Nothobranchius furzeri: one gene and its partners. The protein of the gene in region 1 purifies or fractionates together with the protein of each later gene. This does not show direct contact. Links are inferred from orthologs where the notes say so. Each region holds a gene or a part of one and is shown in the gene's direction. Other genes may lie near its edges.

Region 1 (5,067 bases):
CTCCGCTCTAGCCTCTCCTCCCCCTGCCAAACTGGCCTGTGCCACACTACTCCTCACACGAGCGCTGCATCACTATGGTAATAACGCCCACTGAGACACAGCTGTCGCAAAACCAACTATTTACAGGTTGAGTTTTGAGTAGAGTTTATGCTCATATTGATTTGTGCCTGCAGGTCCCGTCTGGCCCTCCCTGTTGTGTGATCACACCGGCTTTACCAAACAGGACCTCATTCCTCTCTCTGTGCTGCTTTATGTCAAGTGGTAAGTGTGTGTGTGTGTGTGTGTGTGTGTGTACTGACTGACAGGAAGTGACTGTGCTCTCATCAGAGGTTGCCTTTAATCATTAACCACAGCAGCTATATAATAACCAGATGACTCTGCCGCCACAGAATAAAGCGGAGTTTCCTCGTGTCGGAGTGGCTACGGGAGCCTTCTTCCATCCAGAAAAGCAGAAATTCATAAACTCTGAGTTTGTAGGCAGAGATAAAGTCACATGTTTCAGGATTTATATGTTAATGCTGCAGCTTTACGGCTGATGTAAAGAGGTTTCAGGTGGTTTTAATTTAAACATGACATACTGATTTCATTAAATCCCATTGTAATTTGTGATTGGGCTGTTAACAGCCAATACTAATCAGATAACTGAGTCTCATCTCCGCAATAGTCTTTGTAAAAAAATAAAAATAAAAACATCAACAACACACCTTTTGAAACTGAATTAGCACCGATTCTGAATTTGTGGACCGATACCGGTTTGTAATTCTTGTACAGCTGATTCAGATTTAGGCTGGTTCTGATTTAACTCTGAGAAGAAGAAGTGTTTATTCCCAAATGAAGTCAGGAAGTAAAAACATTCACAGGGAGGATCTGTAACTTGGGAGTACTGGTGAGTTCACAGACCAGGAATAACGGTTTTTTTTAATTGCATAAAACCAAACAACAACAAACAAACCGTTTTTATGATTCAGTCGATCTTGAAGCCAGGTTTTTGGAGCATCTCTTTTCTTGCTCACTAACTATTGTTTCTGTCATTTCTGTGTCTCTCTTGTTTTCTTTTTTCATTCCATCTTAACCATAGTTTTTATTTTATCTTGAATCTTTCTTTATTTTTTATAGAGCTTGTGATTTTGAACTTGAAAGGTGTTATATATAAAACTTCCTTCTGTTTAAATCAAACGCACATCTGAATGAATCAAATATTCATGTTTTCCTTTTTTTTATTTCAGTCACATTTCATAAACCAGAGTTTAGTTCAAATACTCCACTAGTGGAAATAATAATAATAGAAAAACCAATAAATGCAGTTTGGATGACCTGTAGATATGACATCACCTCTATTGATTGTTTTGTTTCTCCACATTTGTATTGATCACCGATTGGGTAATAAAAATATATTTTCCATCCACAAAACTACAAATAAGATCTGAGAAAACACTCTGCTCCGTGTTGTGTTTTATGACTGCACTGTGACTCACACACACACGCACACACAAGTACCTTCTCACTGCTCTTTTCTCTGTAAAACCGATGAGAGCTATTGATCGGGCATGTGCCGGGCTGTTTTCAGCATGCACGTATTGATTAAGAAAAAGATGCTGAGAACGTCCGGTTACTAAAAAGAAAGGTCGTTAGGGATTTAAAGGTGGCATAAAACACAGATCATAAGAACAGTAGGAGGCACCACTCGATGTGAGTCACACAAACGTGAGTCACTTTGACGGACGAGCAATATGTCGGCAAACTAATTCTCAAATTGACAAGTAGCAAGATTTGTCGTGGAGACTTGATTATATCTGTGCAGCAAGCAAAGTGGATCAAACTCAATTTTTAAAAAAAAATTTATTTATTTTTTTTCCCCCACTTCTCCATTCTACCTCAGTTTCAGTGAAGATGTTCCCAAAGATCACAGACACGTGTCTCTGGCTGGTGTTGTGCAGCGATTTGAAGACGAGGCCTACCAGCAAATCAGCAAAGAAAAGGTAAAAGGATCAAACATTCCTCATTCTTTTTCTGCCTGTCTATATTGTTCTCAAATCCAAACGCTCATTGATTTTTTATTTTTTTATCTCTTTAAGGTGATGGATTTTAAAGAGCTCTGTCAGATCTTGGAGATTCCTGAAATTGAGCCTCAGATGGAACCTCCCAGTCCCACCAGTGGTCAACCAGCAGACATTCACACCTTCCTGGCTTCCCCGTCAAGCACCAGTAAGAGGTAGGTCAGCCGCCGACACACAGGCGACCTCGTGTTGGTGCTGGAGGATGTGGGACGGAGGAAAAGGTTTGTTACGAGACCAGACTCGCCAACAGGCCAGTGACGGCTGCCCCTGCCAGGTTTCTTGCTCATTTAGCGGTCCTGGTTGTCTCCTGAGCACCACCAGTGACTCGTGAACCGACTTGTCCAGAAGGCGTTTTTCTTTGTGCCGTCTGCCAGAAGCTCCTGTGACTCGCTGTAACCCTCCACTTGTCCACGTTCTCCCTGCAGGAGACGAGATGACAGCGTTCAGGACCACAGGGACAGTTTGGTGGCCACGCCCACAGCAGAGCTGTCCAATCAGGAGGAGACGCTGTTGGGAGACATCCTGGACTGGAGTCTGGACTCTTCCAGCTCTGGTTATGAGGGTGATCAAGAGGAAGAAAGCGATGGAGAGAAAGATGTGGATTGTGAGTGACAAGAACGAGGCTGAGAGTGTTTATTCCAACGGGATTATTAAAAGTCTTCCAGGCAATGAATATAAATGTTCTAATCTCCATGTAAAGTAGTAGAATAATGCATGAGCTACTCTCTGACTCGGCAGTTTTATTGTCCATCTTTATAAATGAAGACTAAATGTAGAGAAATAAAATTTGCTGTGCATTGTTTTTATGTATCTCATTTTTAATGTCTCTTCAACAGCTTCCATGATATCCATCAAACTGCACTCACTGGCTGGTGCTGATGATGGACGCGAACACTGCCGAGCTCTGTCCAGTGATGAAGACAGCTTCTGTGAAGTAGAAGTGAGCAAGGGTCACCAAGGTGAAGAAGCCCTCTCCGTGTCTGCAGACCCTCATAGTTCAGGGTACTCATCCGTCCAGAGCGTTAGCCCCTCGTCCACATGCTCCTCCTCCTCCTTCATGCATTTTGCATTTAGGACCTTTACCACCTCTCTGGGCGTGGCCTCCACTAACGCCCAGCCAGGTTTCCGCCTGTTGGTGCCCATGCAGAGGCCCAAAGGCACCTTCGCCAAACAAGTGAAGAGGAAGAACATTGCAGCTCATAGTGGAGGTGAAGTGGAACGAGACGATGATGACGACTTGGAAAGGGAAGGGTTTTCTGCCCGTGCTGGGTTTCTAAGCCTGTAGGAGGCGATATTTTTACGACTCACTCCGTTTCAAACCCGTCTTCACCAGCTGTCTCTCACTTAGTTCGTCAACCGCCAGAAGATCAATAGACTGGCTTTAAAGACTTGAAAGGGAAAACAAACACAATTAGGGATTGCTTGGAAACTCGTCGTTCTACCACATTTCATTTCCATGATTACAGGCGCGGAGCGGTTGGAAATCGCTCCCGTGAACTCGCCGTCATCTCTGAAACCCCCTGGAATATGACTTGATTGTTGCTCGGGAGCCTGGTGCTTTTCAGCCTGCTACAACAGCCTAGCTGAGATCACATTACTTAGCTGTAAAAGAAATAAAAACCACCGATTTACTGTTTCAGGTGGGAAAGAAAGTGTTGTTAGGGAAAAAAAAAAGCTGTTATAGTTTTTGTGACTATTAATATCGTCAAAGCCTTTGATATGCACTGTCTGTACAGGACAACCTTGTATTTGGTGAATTTCATCATAAGGCTACTACTGTGATCTAGTTGGTGAAAGTTTGCATCTGAAGAGGAGGCCCTCTTGCTTTTGTTTTGTCTTACATGTTTGCCAAAGGTGCAGAGGTGTCATTGGTCTTTCCCGTGGCCTCTGTCCAATCACACACAGCTGTGAAATGCATCACTTTGAGTCGGCAGCAGTCCCAACCGCACCACTCTGCTGTTGGTGACCTGTGGCACGTTAAACCCAACAAGAGCCACACACAGGTGTGTGTGTGTGTGTGTTCACTAATCAAGAAGCTGCAACATAAAACTCCAACAGACTGATGTGGTTTTAATTTTCCTCCAGAATCAAGTCGGGCACTTTTTTCATCACGGGTGTGCAATTCAGATGAAATGTAACATGCTTCTGAACGTTGGGCACGGAGGGACTTTTAATGAATTTGTCTTTTTTCTGCCTTGGACACCATCACAGTTCACACACTAGAGGGAAAAGATGACCCAACGGGCTTGTACGTGTACTGTATGCCCCATTGAGGACACAAAATAGTAAATAATGTTTACATGACTGTGACTGACTGTAAATACATTCTTGTAAACTGTTACTTCTGTCTGGTTGTTTTTGTTTCATGTACATAGTGCTTTATGAATGAATGAGAAGAAGTCAAACCAACATGCCACTACAACTTGAAATTGTGTTTGCTTCATCCCAAAAGGGCAGTTTTTAGCTTTTAGGTTGTTTTTTTTTTACACTGCAGTGTTTATTTGGGTGTGAATGTGTATTTGTATGTTTATTTTGTACGAAGTTCAAATAAACAAAAACAATTCCTGTCTTTGTGTCTTGTTTTTGAACAGTGTTTTTCTTGTTTTGCTTTTAAAATATTAAAGGTCATCTGAATGAGTGCAAAAGACAGGTTTTAAATGACTTCACTTACTGCGCGAGGAAAGCTATCCAACCCAACCCGGTTCAGTGAAAAATGTCCCTAACCTTCATATCTGGTTGTAACTATATTGTAATTGCAAAATTACTTTTGTGATGACTGGTACTAAGTCTTACTACTCTATGAAGGAACTGTAGCCCCAGTCATTCCAGGATGTTAAAGCCTGAAATATACAATAACAATCAGGAAATTTTTAAAAACTTAAATCTTTTTAGTGAGTGTGAATAAAACAGTTTTAGTTACTAAAGCCATTTTAGTAAGTAAACAATAATAACAAGTCTGACACTCGTTTTCTGCAGTGTTTATATCTCCCACAAGGTGGCGGGATACATT
Region 2 (5,678 bases), about 2.2 Mb from region 1:
GGGACCCAGCGACCCGGGACCCAGCTTCTGATAAAAGTTAGAGATAAAGGAAGAAATTTCATTTTCATCTTTTGAGAGATTGTTATTAATATATAAAGTAGATGTTTTTTGCCTTTCCACGTTTTTTTTCCAGATTAAAAAGAAGGATGAGTTTTTTTCTCCGTGTTCCAACCATCTAGCCCGAGACCTTTTAAAAGCTCCCCTTGCCTTTTTCTGGAAATAAAGGTCTAATTTTCCCCTTAATGAGTGCAAACGCACACATGTATACTTAAAATTTCATTAAACTCTTTTAAACAATCAGTATAAGCTTTATTCTGCTCTCTTATTTGTTGCTTTCCAAAGCGCATTGAGAAGCGCTGACATTCAAATTTGAAAAGCTCCCATTTTATGGTAGGTGTAATTTCAGACATTGAATTGAATTTAGTAGCAATTTTTTCAATGCCCAAGCAGTAATCATTTTATTGTAGCAAGGAATAGTTTAATTTCCAATATCCAGGTTTGCTACAATTAGTGGATCTTAAATTTGATAAAAATATATCTATCCCAGCATGATCAGTTAAGGGAGCAATAGCAATATTACAGCTTCGAACCCAGGGAGCTAAATTATCAGAGATTAGCCACAAATCTATACGCGATTTTTGAGATAAGTCTGTTTTAAACCAAGTAAAGAGGTTATTTTCCAAAAGGTGTAAAATTCTCAGGGCATCTAGTAAGGAAAGTTTACCACAGAAATCATAAATAACAGGGTTAAAATTATCTGGACTACCTTTTGCAGGAAATCTATCTGAAAATAAATTTGGAGCTTCGTTAAAATCACCGCCAACAACCACAAATGCTGAAGGAAATTTGTTCAATTCCATGAGGATTTTTATCAGATAAAGAGTTGAGGAGCGTGGTGTTAGAAACCCTAGATTTAAAGCCATAAACATTTACTAAAATAAAAAAATTATCTCCACATCTAATGACCAACAGAATCCATCTGCCGTCTTCTGAAACCTCGGTGTCTATAACTTCACCATTAAATTTAGGATGAAATAAAATTAAAACACCCCCTGAAAAATTAGTACCATGAGAAAAAAATAGCCTCCCCCCACCCATTGATTATGCCAAAATGTAACATCTTTTGAAGAGGGATGAGTCTCCTGTAAAAAAATAGACATCCTTATTTTGCTGCATACAAAATAAAAAATAAAGCTTTTCTTTTGGTTAAATCTCGAACACCCCGTACATGTAGAGAAAAACACGACAAACGGAAATCAGACATCTAGACCACAGAAGAACAAAACTACTTGAACAGTAGTTGTATTAAGTTATGTGAAAAGTTGAGAAATGTGCAAAACTTGAACTCACAAGCCAAAACCTAACACTGAGTTATCAAAATTGGAACAGACCCATGTAAACTATAAAGCAGGATCATACTACAAATTCAAAAACCCATAGCAGGTATCTAACTATTTTTAAATAGTATATGTTTCTCCCTCTCTCCTTTTTTAAAATTTTTTATCCCTCAAAACCTGCTCAAAACTCAAGAGTTGGAACCAACCAATCAGTATAAACAGGTGCCAAACAAAACACAGCCGTTATTTCTTTCATTTTGTCTACTTAGAAGAAGATAAGGCCAGAGGAATAGAACATCCGAAGCTTATTGCTTGGTTGACAAACATCAACATTAAACACGGTTCATCCAAGATGATAATGACATCAACTACCATGCTAGTGTTTAGAATTTTACACGTATTTGTAATATCCTACTACCCGTAAACGCATCTAAACGTTTAAACGTGTAGTTGCTACGTAGGCGCCTTGTCTCCCGCTCAACCCACAACGAAATGTCTTTATTTCTGATTGGTGTGTTTGAATAGTATCAGCGTATCTTATTGGTGCATTTTGAACTGCCACTGCACTGCGGTCTATTCAAAAGAGTTAGTCAACTGCAGTCAGCTCGTGAGCAACCCGAATCAGAAACGACACAAAGTAAGGTTGGATATTTTTCTTACCAAACAGCATTTATCCATCTTCAGATTGAACAAACGTGTTCTGGCTAGGAAGTGTGACGGCGGTTAAAAAGTAGTGCTGCTTCACCTTTTACCTTTTAGTGGTAGGTAGGCTGACGTTGGTGGATAAAGCAGAGGAAGCCGTTTTAAAAGCTAGTCTAGTTAGCCGTAAACCACCGAAGTCAGTCTCTTGATTTAATTGTTACACACAAGGATGAGGAGTCCAGCTACCTTTAGCTCCGATAGTGTCAGGAAAATATTTACCAGGAAGTATAATAGGTCGGCTGGAGCTGAAATAACAATAAAACACGTCTTCTCTTTTTTCCTTTAGGCAAAGATGGACGATTATGTCAAAATAGAGAAAATTGGAGAAGGTGGGTCTACTTCAAAAACGTTCCAGATTTTTTTTGCATCGTTGTGATTAAAAAAAAAGTTCTCACAAAGTATGAGTTTAAATCAGTTCCTGGACATATTGTACTTTGTGTGATATGTATCTTTGCGTTTCTGATTTGTGAAACATGAATGGCCCGGTATGATGTGTGCACAGGAGGGTTGTGTCCACATGTATGATTATTTCTTCTGCTGAACGGTTGCGTGCAGGCACCTATGGGGTCGTGTATAAGGGCAGGCACAAGGCCACAGGGCAGATTGTGGCTATGAAGAAGATCCGTCTCGAGAGTGAGGAGGAGGGTGTTCCCAGCACTGCTGTCAGAGAGGTGTCTCTACTACAGGAACTCAAACATCCCAATGTTGTACGGTAAGGAAAAGCTCCTTCATCTAAAACTTTAGTTTTTTCAAGGTTTTGCTCTCACTTTTTGTTGGAGTCTTTAGTTTTCTCGCTGTAATCCAGCTGGGGCTCTGGCAGATGTTTTCCACTCCCCTCCTTAAAAGTACCAGTGTAGTTTTCAGCTTGTCCCAGGAATGCTGAATCTAATTCCTCCTTTTTTTTCCATTTTCCATAATTTTACCATCTTACATCACACCTGTAACGTCACAACTGGTTTGAAAATCTCACAGAACTTCACTAAAACACTAGTTTAGTGTTTTTCTACAGACCTACAACAGCTGACGCTGTGTACACGTGACTTTTTGTGATACTGCTGAAACCTCAGGCTGTTTGTATGAAACAACCAATCATCTGATATTTGGTGGAAGGGCTGTAAAATTTCAATTCAGTTTATTAATATCACCAAATCACATCAAGGGTCGTCTCAGAGCACTTCACAGAGTAAACGTTCAAGTTCAGTTTATTATGTCAAGCAAGTCAATTTTATTTATGTAGCACTCATCACAAAGTGATTCACATAAAATGGGCCAACTAATAAAAAAAGTTTTCTATCTAAGGCCGGGGTCTCTAACCTTTTGGAGCTACTTTTACACAATGAAAGTACCGAAGAGCTACCGCCATACAATTATTCACATTGATACTTTCCATGTGTGAATATGCTTATTTTAAAAATGCTATACTTACTATATTAACATGCATTGTATTCACAAGCTGTTTTCTCTGTATTTAAATACATCCATATTGTAACAAAAGTCAAAGGAAAATTGTGACATTCCTGTTTTAAAACAAAAAAAAAACATTTTTTTATTAATCAGATATTTTCAGATAATTAACAACAAATGTACTTCGTGTGAATGATTTGACCTTTCATTGCTTTTTGAATGGATCAGTAACCTTTCTGAGCACACGGGAACACCTAAACTGCTCCTGTTGACTCCCGGGCCCTGTGTCCTGCCAGGAGCCTTGGCAGTAATGTCAGTTTTTCATAGTGTAAGCAGTTTTGTCATAAATGATCATACTTCCTAAAAACTAAAATCTTTTCAAATAATTATGCTGTGAATATTTTCCCAAATTAGGCAACACCAAAAAAAAATCCCCTAAAATGAATAATGCTGAAGATATTTTAAATAAAATACAAGCTAAATGTGATGTAAACACAGAATTCTAAATAGTTTGAACTGAAGTAAAAATGTACAAACAGAAGTAATATTTCTTCCTGCTTTCTTTGATTCATTGAATCATTTTTATAGGTTATTTTGCTAATGAAAGTTAAGTTTTGATCCACTAGTGAATAACTGCAGGTAAAATGGTGCTGTGCTGCCTTTTTTACGTTAAAATAAGGTTGGAGGTTTATCCTGTTTCTGAGCCTCTGGATCATCTAATCCGTGGGTCTGATGGCTGTGTAGGCCTTCAATACTCCGTTCATTACTCAGTGAGGCAATAGCTAAAACATTTGAGGGAAATTTGTTGATAATAAGTCACAGGAGATGTCCAGATGGTTTGGAAGCCTTTGTTCATCCAATGTTCAAAAACGGCATTTAATTTGCTTTTACTTTAGAACAGACTTCACTGTTGCCCAGAATATTTTACTGAGGATGTTTTCTACTCCTTAATAGTGTTAATTTTGACCAGAAGTTTTAATTTAAATTTTGTCTTTTGACTAAAATTGACAACATTTTTGACCAAATTTTACAAGATGAATGAGGAGTCAGATGCAAGCAGGAGTGTCATGGCTGACTGACACTCCTGTTGCTGGTCTCAGCTCAGTTTGCTGCGCCATGTTGTGTTAAGCCTGGTTTATGCTTCTCCGTCAGCTCCGCAAGGGACAGACACGCACGGATTGACGGAAGCGTTTTGCTCTCATACTTCTCCGTCTCCTGGAGAGTGTTGCAAAGCAATTGCCCGGCAGGACCACAGAAGGTGCAGCGCTGTTCTGTGGTATCCTGTCATGTATCCAGTCCAAGATAGTGTGTTTATATTGTGTTTTTTGTGTATATAAGAGACTTTTAACACGGACATATTTGTCTCTCATTCTCCCACCACTTCATGCACTCACCACCTCTAAACCCACGTTTCCTGTCATTTCCGTCCACAAATAAAACGCTTGCTGCGCATCGTTTCACTCCTCCAGTCACGGGAGGATTAAACGTTCATATTTTTAGAGTTTTTTCGTGAGGTATTCTTCAAGCTTCTCCGTGTCTGCCGCTAGTTATCCTCGGCTCTCTTTGCAATGGTGGTGCTGTAAACAACAGCGGCGTCCTGACCAATCACAAGCTTGCGTAATCCGTCTCGTTCGACGGATGTTTAAAAAAGTGGGCTCGACTCCGTACGTACTTGCGTGCCTGCCGGAGCCCTACGCAAGGACGGATAATGGCGTTGCGTGTCTCCGCACTGACGCAGACGGAGAAGCATAAATCAGGCTTTAGGCTCAGTGCTTTGATGCGAGGCTTATTGTGTTCTAAAAATGAAACAACTAAATGGACTGTATTTGATATAGCACCTTCTAGAGTCCTGGAACCCCCCAAGGCACTTTACAACACAATCAGTCATTCACACACACATTCATACGCTGGTGGGAATGAGCTACGATGTAGCCACAGCTGCCCTGGGGCGCACTGACAGAGGCGAGGCTGCCGAACACTGACTCCACCGGTCCCTCCGACCACCACCAGCAGGCAAAGGGAGTGTCTTGCCCAAGAACACAATGACAGTGATAAACTGAGCGGGGCTCGAACCTGCAACCTTCCGATTATGGGACTCTGAAAAGGGTGGGTAGTCTAAGCTGAAGGGGGGGTGAGAAAAGGGAGTTGCACTTCCATCTTTTCTTAATTTTTGGATCACTTTTGCTATAATATTCAGACTGATACATAAAGCTTTGCTGATCTCCGAGTAGCCCT
Region 3 (5,918 bases), on another chromosome or scaffold:
TCACAGGTTCAACCTAGAATCGTCTCAATTCAGCAAACCTCAGAATACAGCAGACCTTTTCTACTCATCGATTTTACAGAACCTGGTTTTGCTTTTATCTGCTTGTTGTAAATTATCAGATAAAAATGAAAAACTAACTTTAAACATTTTTCATACAGTAGTCATTATAATTCTTTTAAAGGTATGCATCCCAAACCGCTTTGGAAAACAGATCCTGCATAGATTTCATATGGTGTTCCACCTGGGAATGTTCGGGGTGTGAAACTCTGATTTGAGACCAACTTCTGGTAAATATTACCTGTTGGTGTGGAACAGAAAACATAAATTAACAATAAACTCTACATCAGCAGGGCCCAAAACATCATCAAAGGCCCCTCCCACCCCAGTCACTACAGCTTTTTAATTCAGCAGGTGCTACAAAGCCACAAGAGCGAAAACCAGCTGACTGAGGGTCAGCTTCTTCCCCACAGCTGTCGGGACAATAAATAGAAGAAACAAACTCTTGAACTGGTGCGATAAATCCAATGTAACTTGAAAAACATTACTACTGTTGTTTGTAGGTCACTGCATTCAGTAAGGATTTATTTGTGTATATATTTCATATCTATCTTTCTTTTTTTTTCTTAAAACTTGTTTGTTTTATCTGGGAGTTGATTTTTCCAAGTCATATTTTCCACCATGTCATTCATACATTTCATAAATGTCCCATTTCTCAACTAAATATGTAGTTAAAAAGCTAACTGTTTTAAATTATTTTAAAAACTAAATATTTAGTAGGATAAACATTTTGTTTATTTTTCATTCATCATTCATTCGTTTTCTTTATTCTCATAATTCTGACTTTTTAACTTCTGAAAAAAAAAGTGAAATTCACTTTCACCTTCTTTTTTCTTTAACTTTTCAGGGGCGCCAATCCTTTTTTGTATATGTCTGACCTAAATATCTATTTTTTAGCTTAATATTTAGTTAGTAAATTAAATATTTAGTTTGGAGCTAAATATTTAGTTAGTAAATTATTTAAAATACCTGACCTAAATATTTATTTTGAGAAATACATATTTAAGTATGACCTAAATACTTAGCTTGGTGCTAAATATAATTTTAGTAAATTAAACATTTACTTAGAAAATAAATACTTATGTCTGATCTAAATATTTAGTTTCCAAATGAAAAATTTGTAAAATAAATGTTTACCTCATTTTAAATATTTAGCTTGTTAGCTGAAAACTAAGCCTTTTAAAAATGTATGAATGACATGACTTTTTAAAATTAACTCTCAGTTGCTCCCTTTTATGACAGTCGACATAATCCAAGTACTGCTGTTACATTGCGACAGTTTGGCACCCCATAGAACATTAATCTGTACACCTAAAGCTAACTCACCTGTTATCCAGCTCTCCTTTATGCCCGGGCTCTTCTGCATCACCAACAATCACATCACTGGTTACTTCTGAAGGGACCAAAAATACTGATTATTATGGGATGTAACAGTAGTGAAGCCTATTATAAAAGAACAAACCAGAAACTATTTCAACAAGTAAAACAAAAACATTTTAAGAGGAAATTTAAGGTACATATAATATGTTTACCACAATAACATCAATGAGGTAACCCTTACTTAGACACATGATGGAGTCCAGACGTTCTACTTCTCCACAGACGCTAAAGGAGTCTCCCAGGACAGTGTTGCACTGCTGACAGTGAAAAGTCAGCGCTTGTCTGTCATCTGCATCCGTGGTAATGACCATATTGTTGAGTCGTTTATTTAAGACGCTGTCGTCAAATTCCATGTCACCCAGAGAACCAGAACCACCAACGGACGATTTTAAGTTTTGTTCTTCTAATTTCCGCGCGCTGAAGTTAGCTTGGCACATTACTGCCACCGCGGTGTGGGTTTAGACACAACACCAAGACACATATACGCAAGAAAATGAGAAACATTAACACAACAAAGCTGTAATTTTAAACTTTTAACAATATGCTAAAATAATAACTATTAATCACCAGTTTAACAAAAAAAAAGGATAGATTTAAGTAGAGGCGTTTGACCATCTTGGTTTTGATTGGCTATGGGGCACATCTGGTTAAAAATAAGAGCCAATCAAATCGCTCTCACGGTCTTGTTTTGAATAGGAAGGAGTTTTAACCGTCGGGGCGCGAATGAGAAGCAGAAGAAGAAAGAAAACGGAGACATCGTGATTTTATAAAGCATAGTAAACCACCGTAGTAACATGGATTTGGACTCCATGAAATATGCGGATTTGCGAAGTCTTGCGAAGGAGCTTGGGCTGAAAGCAAACGGGAAGGTAAGGAAGTTACTTTTACGTGTCTTTAGCGTAACGGTAGAGGACTGTTAGCTAACATCGGCTAAATCAATCACGTTTTATTTACTCATACGCAGGCTGATAAACTCCTGAAAGCTATAAAAGAGCATTACCACGAAGAGAAGAACGCAGACGTGCAGGTAGGTAACTGCTGCTGCAGTATTATTTTAAAAGTATTGTTTTAATGTAAATTGAATGTCTGCGTATCGTTGTGTTTCTGCCCCAGGGTCGATGCAGTGTTGGTGTCCCTGAACACAAAAGTGTAGCAGAAGACAGCGCTGTCCCTGTCTTTGTAAACACACGTCGGGGTAAAGGAAACCGCTCCAAGAGAAGGCTTTCTGACACTTCCAGTGTGTGTGGTGCTAAGACTCCCAGTGCTGCAGAGGTCTGACGTCATTAAAAAGGCCACTGGTTGTGTTTAACAGCACGTAACCGTCTGTAACCCTACCAGGTGTAAGACTGTTTGTCTTTTCAGGGTGGTGACAAGCCAAGTGTCTGCAGCACCCCCACTTCACAGGGTAGCAAGAAAAGAAAGCTGTCCTGTCATGGAGAACCTCAAACTACTGAGACTGACCAGCAGCACCCTGATACTAAAGAGGAGAAAACGGCTCAATCAACAGGTTTGAGAGCTTCTTCAAACCTGCGACTAGATTTATTTTTGCTTTGAGAAGCAGTTTGACTCATAAAATCATATTTGTTCAGGAAAAGTACCAAAAGTGGTGAAACCTGGCAAAATTCCCCGCTACAGAGGCTCCCAGCAGATGAACAAGACTCTGTTGAAGCCCACCACACCTAGTGAGTTTGCTTTATTTCCTTTCTCCAGACTTGCGTAAACACGGTCAGCATATTTAATCCTTGAATTTGTTTTACTGTTTGTCAATTTTATCTCTAAATTAGATTTTAAGAAAATCCATGAGGCGCAGTTCAACAAAATGGAGTCCATTGACACCTATGTTCAGCGCAAAACAAAGCAGATGGAGACCACCAGATCTTCAGCCAAAGATCTGAAGGTATTAAGTCTTCCTAACATCAGAACAAATGTTTAAGTTGGTCTTTCTACATTGTTTTCCATCCTAATCTGAAGTCAAAGCTGGACACGTTTCAGAGCTTATGTGTGGGTTTGTGTTTGACAGAACACGACTCGTGCCTCCATGTTCAGCCCAGCCCAGCTCAATAAGAGACCAGCTGCAGAAAAGCCCAGACACACTTTGCTGCCAGTCAGTAAAGCTCTTCAAAACAAACGTGCTGGGAAAGACGACCTTCCATTCAGACCGTCTGTTATTTCTACGCGTAGGATCAATGTTCGGTGCGTCTTCTGTCGATCATTGCTACAGTCATTGTTATAGCAAACACAGATAAGTGTGTTTCATGTGACGCTCTACCAACTTGTTCAGATTCTCAGAAGCTACATGTGACAACGAGTTTAAGAGGTCTTTGGTGAAGACCCCGGCACGCATGTCGCTCCAGAGACCTTCCAGCACCCCTCAAAGCCAGACCACCAAAGCAAAGAAGCCACATGTTGTCATTACGTCTACTTTGTCTCCCCAAAAAACTTCAGGTACTCATCGCCACCATTTGGGATAATTTAAATTTGATGTGTTAACTAGAGGCCTTACCGACATGTTTTTTTTTTTAGGCCGATAGATTTACAAAGAATTTTGATGCCGATGGCTGATATCTAAAACCGATTATTAAGGTTTATATATGTGATTTGGCAGCATATTGCTTGTGAAAGACAACCTAACGCTCACTGTGTGCAATATAAATTAAATAAGTCAATAAATCTCTTAATATTTATTGAACTTCAAATATTAAACAAACTCAAAACATTTTTATTTTTTTTAAAGCAGTGTGTTGGGGGTCGTTCGGGTTCTCTCTTCAGTCTAGTAGTAGCGGCGGTAGGCCACACAGGTGCCTGATTTTAAAAAATGTTTTTATTGGCTTTTAAAAATAATTTCGGCCGATATAGAAAAAATTTTATATATCTGTCAGCCTCTAGTGCGAACATGCAAAATAAATCTAACCAATCTGGTTTGTCTCCATTAAAGAACTGTTTGTTTTTACTGGTGACGTCTCAACCACACCCGGAACACAAAAGAAGCCGACCTTTGATCTGAAGGCCAGTCTGTCGCGTCCGCTCAACTACAAACCCCACAAAGGTGCGGAACTGTCCTCAAAGACCGTAAGTTGTGTTGTTCTGAGACACTGATGCTTCCTTCCTTTTTTGCAGGCAAACTGAAGCCATTTGGAGATGCTAAAGAAAATGCATCTGCAAACAAATCTCTGATCTCCAATTCGCGTCAGGAAAGTTACAAACAACACAAGGTGCAGTCCAGGTGAGCCTGAGAGAAATTCTCATCACAACAATCTGCCTGTAAAGCGCCTCCTGAGGCTGATCCGTGTCGTGTTTACAGGGACGACCGGAGGGCAATACTAGCAGAGGACCGGAAGCAGAAGAAAACAAAACTGCTCGGAGCGAGGAGAGGCCTGGTCATGGAATAGAAACGCTTTTGCATTTTTCTCAAGCTTCCTGTTCTCATGTAAATAATTTAGACATCCGTGCTCTCCTGAGCCAGTTGTAAGAACATGGATTCAGTCTGCTTTACTCAGCTTGTAGATTTGTTTGTTTATAATAATCATTTTTATCCTTTTGTAGTAAAAACTTTTACTTATTGTTTTCCATTTTGAGATGAATATTTGGATTAAAATGGTGACCTAAAAGATTTGTTGTGCTTTAATAAAATGTCTCTTGAATGCTTTTATTATTGCTTTTACAATAAAACAACAAAAAACTCTCACATGGAAATCACTTTGCTGTTTTACTGAGAGAAGTCATTTAAACTAAACGGGAAAATTAAGAAGCAGCAAGAGTGTCTGTTTAACTTGTAAAAGATCAACAGCAACAACCGTTTGATCCCCTTAACCGATTTGTGTTTTAAAATTGACCAGAAATGCAAAAAAAAAAAAAAGTGAAGACGAGGAATTTCCACACATCTGTATTTAATTGGCTGCTTAACGGTTTAAACGCTGCGTTGTGGTGGCCCCTAAGCTGTTGGGTTCCTCTTGTACATCTCGTAAGCGAAGTCCTCTGTGTGAGCGTAATCTTTGCAGACGCCAATAAAATCAATCTCAAGCTGAAAAGGGCCGTCTGCTTTGTCTCCCAGGGTGAACCCGATGGTATTAATCTGAAAATATAAGCCAAAGTCTAAATAAATCTCAGAAAGACAATTATATTCAATATGCCAGCTGCAGGTCATGGTACATGAAGTACAGTTCTCGTGTGTGTCCGTTATTTTCTTGTCTTTGGTATTTTGTTGTGATTTTATGATACCTTGTCCAGCCACAGAGGATGCTGTTGGTCGTGTATCCTCCCTCGATGTGTGATGAAGAACTTGGAGAAGGGTATCTGCCAAAAATAAAAAGTGTTAGTGAGTTAATCAGTCTAGGGCTTAAAAGTGCATCAGCTCACCTTTACATCTTGCCAGTAAGGTCCTCCTCTGGTGAACAGGAAGTAGGTGTAAAGGTCGTCTTTTTGATGAGAGAAATAATTTTCAGTTGCGATATTAATCATCCACGGGCGGCCGTCACCACGGA

The links. Proteins that work in one complex are often made in the same cells at the same time.
Region 2: the proteins of ccnf (region 1) and cdk1 purify together in Homo sapiens (affinity purification with mass spectrometry; 3 studies listed by BioGRID, with this or other methods). This does not show direct contact. The link is inferred for Nothobranchius furzeri from reciprocal best matches to the Homo sapiens genes CCNF and CDK1.
Region 3: the proteins of ccnf (region 1) and nusap1 purify together in Homo sapiens (affinity purification with mass spectrometry; 3 studies listed by BioGRID, with this or other methods). This does not show direct contact. The link is inferred for Nothobranchius furzeri from reciprocal best matches to the Homo sapiens genes CCNF and NUSAP1.

The regions. Positions count from the first base shown.
Region 1 is NC_091752.1:57,977,192-57,982,258, forward strand, and holds the end of ccnf (cyclin-F), read left to right. Parts: coding exon 1-77; intron 78-173; coding exon 174-261; intron 262-1,879; coding exon 1,880-1,979; intron 1,980-2,075; coding exon 2,076-2,212; intron 2,213-2,482; coding exon 2,483-2,661; intron 2,662-2,893; coding exon 2,894-3,342; 3' UTR 3,343-3,525; downstream 3,526-5,067. UniProt on the Homo sapiens protein: Substrate recognition component of a SCF (SKP1-CUL1-F-box protein) E3 ubiquitin-protein ligase complex which mediates the ubiquitination and subsequent proteasomal degradation of target proteins.
Region 2 is NC_091752.1:60,127,717-60,133,394, forward strand, and holds the start of cdk1 (cyclin-dependent kinase 1), read left to right. Parts: upstream 1-1,878; 5' UTR 1,879-1,974; exon of another isoform or gene 1,975-1,979; intron 1,980-2,034; exon of another isoform or gene 2,035-2,098; intron 2,099-2,325; 5' UTR 2,326-2,331; coding exon 2,332-2,368; intron 2,369-2,594; coding exon 2,595-2,751; intron 2,752-5,678. UniProt on the Homo sapiens protein: Plays a key role in the control of the eukaryotic cell cycle by modulating the centrosome cycle as well as mitotic onset; promotes G2-M transition via association with multiple interphase cyclins.
Region 3 is NC_091758.1:19,032,064-19,037,981, reverse strand, and holds nusap1 (nucleolar and spindle-associated protein 1), read left to right. Parts: upstream 1-2,118; 5' UTR 2,119-2,231; coding exon 2,232-2,306; intron 2,307-2,401; coding exon 2,402-2,464; intron 2,465-2,550; coding exon 2,551-2,709; intron 2,710-2,799; coding exon 2,800-2,944; intron 2,945-3,026; coding exon 3,027-3,119; intron 3,120-3,221; coding exon 3,222-3,334; intron 3,335-3,457; coding exon 3,458-3,630; intron 3,631-3,718; coding exon 3,719-3,882; intron 3,883-4,372; coding exon 4,373-4,483; intron 4,484-4,554; coding exon 4,555-4,660; intron 4,661-4,738; coding exon 4,739-4,826; 3' UTR 4,827-5,048; downstream 5,049-5,918. Other genes in the region: oip5 (protein Mis18-beta), read right to left, coding at 1,384-1,450, 1,619-1,874; ndufaf1 (complex I intermediate-associated protein 30, mitochondrial), read right to left, coding at 5,369-5,509, 5,656-5,730, 5,794-5,918. UniProt on the Homo sapiens protein: Microtubule-associated protein with the capacity to bundle and stabilize microtubules. May associate with chromosomes and promote the organization of mitotic spindle microtubules around them.